Linked DNA regions of Saccharomyces cerevisiae S288C. Changing the gene in region 1 together with any one later gene gives a genetic interaction. Each region holds a gene or a part of one and is shown on either strand. Other genes may lie near its edges.

Region 1 (3,745 bases):
TGCGTGCGGTCCAACACATTCTTCGATCACTCCACTAGATCTTGTCAAATGTAGGCTACAGGTCAATCCCAAGTTGTATACTTCAAACTTACAAGGGTTCCGTAAGATTATAGCTAATGAAGGCTGGAAGAAAGTATACACTGGGTTTGGTGCTACATTCGTCGGATATTCGCTACAAGGTGCAGGTAAGTATGGTGGTTATGAGTATTTCAAGCATTTGTATTCTAGTTGGTTAAGTCCTGGTGTCACTGTGTACTTGATGGCCTCAGCGACCGCTGAATTCCTCGCTGATATCATGTTGTGCCCATTTGAAGCTATTAAAGTGAAACAGCAGACTACTATGCCGCCCTTTTGCAATAACGTTGTTGATGGATGGAAAAAAATGTATGCAGAAAGTGGAGGTATGAAAGCATTTTATAAAGGTATTGTTCCCCTATGGTGCAGACAGATTCCTTACACAATGTGTAAGTTTACCTCATTCGAAAAAATTGTTCAAAAAATATACAGTGTTTTACCTAAAAAGAAAGAAGAAATGAACGCATTACAGCAAATATCAGTCAGTTTTGTAGGTGGTTATCTGGCAGGTATATTATGTGCTGCAGTCTCACATCCTGCAGACGTTATGGTTTCCAAGATCAATAGCGAAAGAAAGGCCAACGAGTCCATGTCTGTAGCCTCTAAAAGAATATATCAAAAAATTGGCTTTACTGGGTTGTGGAATGGGTTAATGGTGAGAATTGTCATGATCGGTACTTTGACAAGTTTCCAATGGCTAATTTACGATTCGTTCAAGGCTTATGTAGGCTTACCAACCACCGGTTAGCTGATCGATTCAATCGGCAAGGTTTATCGTAAACACTCTGTGCTAGAGGAATATTGTATACACAGGATTTCATAAAGTTAGTAAATGACCGGCATTTATAGTTTGTTCTTCTTTGCATATGTCTTAATAAATATTCGTCCTACAATTTCTTTTCATACTAAGAGTTTTGTTATGATTGCCAAATTTCTCAAGCCAAGAACAGGCCCAGGAAAACTTTGAAAGTGCCATATCAGAAACACATTTATAAGGTAGTTTCGATATACGGCAATACTCGATGCATGCCCAAACTTGCCAGCCGCTCGCGATTGAATCTTCTACAATTTTTAGGTGAACATATTCAGAGGCTGAGGCCTTATTTGATAGTAACATCAAATATCACTCCCACAATTTACAATCACTGTCATTGGTCTCACAGGATCCTTTTCTTTCTAGAACTCCCCTAATATCAACTTTTTACTCTACTGTGGCTCTAACCACGTGTATTTTTCAGGCCCATGACTCACCTTTTCTTTCTTTTTCACTAGCAAACGAAAATTTCATCATCACTTTTTTTTTTTTTCACTTTCCGTACGCAGTCTTCTCCAGAGATTCTTTTAGCTTCGAAGAAATAATGTATAATATCCATATATAAGAATACTGCTGGATAATTATTTTATTTCTATTTTAACAGTGCTCTACTCATTGAAGGATATTTGTGTAGCCAATACTCTCTCCATCGCTTAAGCTCACATAGCTATCGCATTTTATCACAGAAGCTTTCATTTTTTTTAACTTTTACATGCCAATGGATTTCCAACCTACATCAAGTCATTCGAACTGGGTCGTGCAAAAGTTCGGTGGTACATCTGTCGGTAAATTTCCCGTCCAAATAGTGGATGACATTGTGAAGCACTATTCTAAACCTGACGGCCCAAACAATAATGTCGCTGTCGTTTGTTCCGCCCGTTCTTCATACACCAAGGCTGAAGGTACCACTTCTCGTCTTTTGAAATGTTGTGATTTGGCTTCGCAAGAATCTGAATTTCAAGACATTATCGAAGTTATCAGACAAGACCATATCGATAATGCCGACCGCTTCATTCTCAATCCTGCCTTGCAAGCCAAGTTAGTGGATGATACCAATAAAGAACTTGAACTGGTCAAGAAATATTTAAATGCTTCAAAAGTTTTGGGTGAAGTGAGTTCACGTACAGTAGATCTGGTGATGTCATGTGGTGAGAAGTTGAGTTGTTTGTTCATGACTGCTTTATGTAATGACCGTGGCTGTAAGGCCAAATATGTGGATTTGAGCCACATTGTTCCCTCTGATTTCAGTGCCAGCGCTTTGGATAACAGTTTCTACACTTTCCTGGTTCAAGCATTGAAAGAAAAATTGGCCCCCTTTGTAAGTGCTAAAGAGCGTATCGTTCCAGTCTTTACAGGGTTTTTTGGTTTAGTTCCAACTGGTCTTCTGAATGGTGTTGGTCGTGGCTATACCGATTTATGTGCCGCTTTGATAGCAGTTGCTGTAAATGCTGATGAACTACAAGTTTGGAAGGAAGTTGATGGTATATTTACTGCTGATCCTCGTAAGGTTCCTGAAGCACGTTTGCTAGACAGTGTTACTCCAGAAGAAGCTTCTGAATTAACATATTATGGTTCCGAAGTTATACATCCTTTTACGATGGAACAAGTTATTAGGGCTAAGATTCCTATTAGAATCAAGAATGTTCAAAATCCATTAGGTAACGGTACCATTATCTACCCAGATAATGTAGCAAAGAAGGGTGAATCTACTCCACCACATCCTCCTGAGAACTTATCCTCATCTTTCTATGAAAAGAGAAAGAGAGGTGCCACTGCTATCACCACCAAAAATGACATTTTCGTCATCAACATTCATTCCAATAAGAAAACCCTATCCCATGGTTTCCTAGCTCAAATATTTACCATCCTGGATAAGTACAAGTTAGTCGTAGATTTAATATCTACTTCTGAAGTTCATGTTTCGATGGCTTTGCCCATTCCAGATGCAGACTCATTAAAATCTCTGAGACAAGCTGAGGAAAAATTGAGAATTTTAGGTTCTGTTGATATCACAAAGAAGTTGTCTATTGTTTCATTAGTTGGTAAACATATGAAACAATACATCGGCATTGCTGGTACCATGTTTACTACTCTTGCTGAAGAAGGCATCAACATTGAAATGATTTCTCAAGGGGCAAATGAAATAAACATATCCTGCGTTATCAATGAATCTGACTCCATAAAAGCGCTACAATGTATTCATGCCAAGTTACTAAGTGAGCGGACAAATACTTCAAACCAATTTGAACATGCCATTGATGAACGTTTAGAACAATTGAAAAGACTTGGAATTTAAATCCACCTTTCTTCTTCACTTTAATGATAGAATATTAATTTTCCCTTTATATATATATATATATATATATACGCGCACATATATTTACATATATATTAATGTTTTGTAACCTATATTGGGGCGATTATTCCCTAAATGTAATGTCAGGGTTATACTGTATCAATTGCTAAAGTAGATCTCATTCATCGAGAGCATAGGATGAAATAAAAGATACAAGAACGTGGCGGACAAGAAGAAATTTTACGAAATAAGATCGGCTAAAGCTTTCGCTAAATGCTTCTTTGAAGTGAAATTTAACGGCTTGTACTTAACTTCAGGTTTTATAACGTATGCATGAAGTGATTGAATTGCGCAATTAGTGGTCCTGGAAAGCAAATCCCCATCACTGACATCACTAGTGATTTTATTTTTATCAAGCGCAAGATACTCGCATAATTTACCCATCACTTGATCAAACTTCGGGAAGGTAAATCTTCTAGGAACCTTTGTTAACTTTTCAATTTCCACAATTTTAAGGTGTGTCTCCAAATCACGGATGGTTAAAAAGTTGCCTCCAAATA
Region 2 (4,651 bases), on another chromosome or scaffold:
ATGGATGATGGGTTTTAAAAAATTAGTCAAGACATAATTCTTAAAGTTCATAGTCTCATTTTTCATTTTCTTTTTGCCTGCTTTCTCTTTTATACATCGCCGCATAATTTACTAAACGCCCTTTGTGTTTGTGGGCGGAAAGAAATATATTCCCTTAAAATTTCCAGGAAATTATGTTGCTACAATGACTTATAAAGGGAAAAAATAAGAAGAGAAATCTTGGAAGAATACCCTAGTAAAATAGTGTACAAGGCAAAGTTCTTAATTATGCAAAATCGCCGTATATGAAATAGAACAACTTTTTATACAGCTTAAATACAGAATTCAAGTATGTTAATCAACATGAAAGAAAAAAAAAAAAAAATGCGAGTCATGAAACTACACGTTTTTTTCAGAGAATATTATCCATCTTGTGCTATGTATAATATACACTTATGCTTATTACAAAACTAATATGTTAAACAATTGAAAGATTTGTGTTTTTTTTCGGCCTTGCCTTCTCAACTAGGATTCAGTGGCAGGACTGACCCATTATCGGTAGAACCTCCTGACGTCATATCATGCTCGCTCGTCTTCTTAGCCTCATTATGCAGTGTATCTGCCTTTTTATCCAACAGTTCGTTAAAAAAATCGTATCCTCCGCTATGGGAACCTAGGCTGCTATCTTCTGTATGTGAGCCAATCCCTTGATGTACCACTTGAGGCTTGGCACCATCATTTTCAGCTGACTTTTCAACTGGAGGATTTGGATTCGTAGTAGCCAAGGATCTTAACGTTTCCCAAAAATCCAGGCCGTCTTCATCTCTCAATGGAGTATCAGATCTGGATGTAGTCCTTGATATCTCCGACTGATCAATGTGATTGAATTTATTGGTTGTCACAGATGATGAAGAATGATGCTGAGATGATTCACTTTTTCTTTTTTCTTTTTTCTTAGTTTTACTGCCGTTACTTCTTACTGAATTTGGAGATGGATTGAGTAACTTATTCAAGTCAGCACCTCTTGTCGCATCTGATGAGCCTAAATGAGGCCGTATAGTTGGTGGCAAATAGTTGAAATGCGCTATTCTATTAGGACCTACATCAGGTGGCATTTCTGAACCGCTCGTTGTATATGATGCCGTCGAACTTGGTGCCTTGCCATTTGTTCCATTGAAATTCGGTGACATACTATTAGCACTAACGTTTCCTTGAATGATTTCATTATTTGTAGCGGTAGAATTAGTTGGGATCAATGTATTTGCTTGAGGATAAAATACAGACGGGCTGTTTGTTTCTCTATTGCTTTGTGAACCAAGTTCATTTGCATTGTCAGCGGGATTGTGTGAAGTTGCTTCCAAGCTGAATGCGTTATAGTTGGGTGTTCTTGATAAAAAATCGCTATCCATGTTGTCCAGAGAAGTCCTATATTCTGGGTTAAAAGTGTCACTATTTGAATTTAACCCTGGAAGACCATTTCCCAGTTGTCTACCCATATGTGGGAAACTATCCATTAATAGAGGGTTTCCATTTATATTTCCTATATTTGACAATCCAGTATTGCTGCTGACAGGATGGTCTGTGGATGTAACATAATGATTGTGAATATGTTGATGTATCGAAATTTTTAAAGAGTACTTCTTAGCTTGGTCAACCAATTCTTTTACTAATTTTGTGCTGTCAATAGTTCCGTTAGAAATTGACAAACCTTGACCATCTTTTAATGTAAATTTCCATTGTGTGCTAGAGGAATTTGGTTCTCTAGTTTTCACAGTAGAATAAGCATGCTTCGGAGAATCTGAAATACTATTACTATTCATCATATGCTCATCGAGAGATGCTGGATTGAATGCTGGGGGAAGGCTTGTCTGTGGGCTATCTGAGATTCCTCCAGGACTTTGCTTGTTCATTTGAGAAAGACCTTCAATTGGTAAAGATACTTTGCTCCTAATGCTACCACTGGTATGAGTCTGACCGACTTGCGTCATCCTGATTGGTGGAGGTGCAGATATCTCTTTTAAGGGAGGTAATGCTTGTGGCTTGCTGTCATTTAAAATGGGTCCATCATTATCCTTTAATCTTGGTAGTTTGCTCGATTCGTTCTCTTTAACATTCAATATATCCTGCTTTATCAATGAAGGGTTGTTCTGTTGAGATAGCTGCAACTGTTCTTCTTTATTCGGTGTAGAATCTGAGCGTATATCAGAATCGGCGATTGGATGTTGTCGGAGTTTTCCGTCTGTCATGTCTATGTTCTTGTTTTCTTTTATAGCCTTTGTTATTACTTCTGATGCTTGTCCTCGCACAACCATAGTAATAATTTTCCGCCATCTGTTCCTGCACGTTAAACTTGGTCTGAATTCCATTTCCGACGAAATCTTTCTCCATTTCGTGCCGTATGCCTTCACTTTACTTATCAGATTTAAATCTTCCTCGAGCGTCCATTCTCTTAATCTACCTTTACTTCCAGGTCCCAACACTTCAATGTACCTTTTCGCACATTGATCCTCTGTTCTTCCAGGGATATCCATGGAGATACTCAGCCAGTGAGGCCCATGTTCTTCATAAGCTTTCAAGAGCTGCTCATCCTCTTCTTGTGTCCATTTACCTTTCTTCAAGTTTGGGTCCAGAGATCCTGTCCAACGCTTTCTTACATCCTTTGAAGTTCTTACGGTGTGTTTGAATCGTGTAGCTAAAACATCCCAAGCAATACATTTAGAAAGATGGTTGGATTGTTGAATTGTTTTTACGTCTTCAAGTCCATTCTCATAGCCTAACTCCTTTGCGGATTCGTTTACTAGCGATCGTAGCATATTATCGTCGTCCTTTGACCATGAATTTCTTCCATTTTTCCTGTGTGTCTGATAGCCAAGTGATTCAGTCACTTCAAGTAAATCGAAGCCGGATCCTCTTTTTGGCTTACTTTTTCGTATATCTTTGGTACTTATATTCGACATTCTCGATAAAATGTATTCTGCGATAAAAAAAAAAGAGCAAAAACGCTACAACAAAAGTTTTAAACAAAACTAATTTTGTTTACCCCACTAGAGATCAACAATTGTTGCAGAGAACGATTCAAATCAGCAAACCGGATTATCAGAAAGCAAATAATTAAACACAAAAAACGTACACTAGTCCTTTATAGTAAACTAATAAGAAAAATTTCTTATTATATAAATATAGCTGGTTAATTTCGATTGCTTTAAAGTTTCCTGGGGCTTTATTCTGTGACTGGACCCTATTTCTTCTAAAGGTCTTAACATAATTACTCATTCTCATTTTTTATTTTTTTCTTCGTCTGGCTCATCGCATTGTTCGGACCAAAAAAAAAAAAAAAAAGAAAAAAAGAAAAAAAAAAATAGTTTCTCCGTTGCACATCGTCAAAGGTGATTTCCCCACATCTATTATAAAGTTTTTCCGGAGTGCTTAAAAAAGGGATTGACATTTCTTCGAGAATTAGTTGAGAAACCCTTTTAGATTGTGCGCTGAGTAATCATTAGGTTGATTATAAGCTCTGAAAGGTTACTGCTACTGCTAGTAGTCTTTCAGGATCTTCAGTAAACTAAATAACCGTGGCATTGATCTTACTTTCCGTTTTCTTTTCGCTAAATCGGAAGTCATAAAGACAATGTTATTAAACCCAGATCAAATTCTAAACCTAGTTCGAAAAGTATATGAAGTAGATATTAAACAGTTTTATTCGCAATTACGGCTAAAGAACTTAAGAGGATTGTTAGACCATGCTGCTCATCTGTTTAATGTTTACCTGAGGGATTTAGAAATCAATCAGGAAATGGAAGCTTTGACAGCATTTATTATTGGTTGTTATTATCTGTACCTTATTATTCCACAATCGTTACAATTCCAAACAAGAAATAATCTCTACAGCAGTTACGCAAAGCTAAAAAACGACTATCAAGACGAACACGTGATGGGTTATGTGTTAAAAGTGGTAAGAGATGAAAGTACTGTTATTGTTGACCGGTATTTAGCGGAGTCAAACGGAATTTGCAGGACCATAAAAAGAAAAAGAGCCTACTCCTTACCGCTACGGCCTTTACCTGTTCATATGGCCTCTTTGTCAATACATAACAAGTTTGATGGCTCACTACATGAAATACCGAATGAGCTAACAAAACCAACAAATGATAATTCGAAAGAGGACATAGTCAGGGAAAGTAATCAGATAGCATCAAGTAATAAATTGGAAGCTGGTTCTGAAGTGGCGTACTACACAAGCAAAGAAGCATTATCAAAACCCTCGTATTTAAAACTCAGTACTGGAAAGGATGCATTATTCAAAACGCTGTCTAGTCCAGCAACTGCTCCCCCCGTGCACTCCTTGGAGGTTTCGTCACAAATCAGAGATTCTAGCCAAGATTCTTCATCCTCTTTATCCAAGGTGGAAAAGCCAAAGGAGGAAGAAGGAAAGATCGAGGCCATAGAATCTTCGGCCCCGAAAGCTTACAATCTACCAGTAATTGAAGATTCTAATGATCTGTTATCAGAGTTATCTATTACTGGCCTGCAAAATCCATGCAATACATGCTATATTAACAGTATAATTCAATGTCTGTTTGGCACTACCTTATTTCGGGATTTGTTTTTAACCAAGAAATATAGGCTATTCCTCAATACTAACAAATATCCGAAAGAAGTCCAACTTTCCCGC

The links. A genetic interaction does not mean that the proteins touch.
Region 2: mutations in HOM3 (region 1) and BAS1 together harm fitness more than expected from each alone (negative genetic interaction), as found in Saccharomyces cerevisiae (3 studies listed by BioGRID).

Annotation. Positions count from the first base shown.
Region 1 is NC_001137.3:255,815-259,559, reverse strand, and holds HOM3 (aspartate kinase), read left to right. Parts: upstream 1-1,601; coding exon 1,602-3,185; downstream 3,186-3,745. Other genes in the region: PIC2 (Cu/Pi carrier), read left to right, coding at 1-823; JHD1 ([Histone H3]-lysine-36 demethylase), read right to left, coding at 3,426-3,745. UniProt on the Saccharomyces cerevisiae protein: Phosphorylates aspartate, the first step in the biosynthesis of amino acids that derive from aspartate (the aspartate family of amino acids), including methioinine and threonine, the latter of which is a precursor to isoleucine.
Region 2 is NC_001143.9:634,136-638,786, reverse strand, and holds BAS1 (Bas1p), read right to left. Parts: upstream 2,937-4,651; coding exon 501-2,936; downstream 1-500. Other genes in the region: ubiquitin-specific protease UBP11, read left to right, coding at 3,608-4,651. UniProt on the Saccharomyces cerevisiae protein: Activates HIS4 transcription only in combination with PHO2/BAS2. BAS1 is also involved in the regulation of the purine biosynthesis pathway.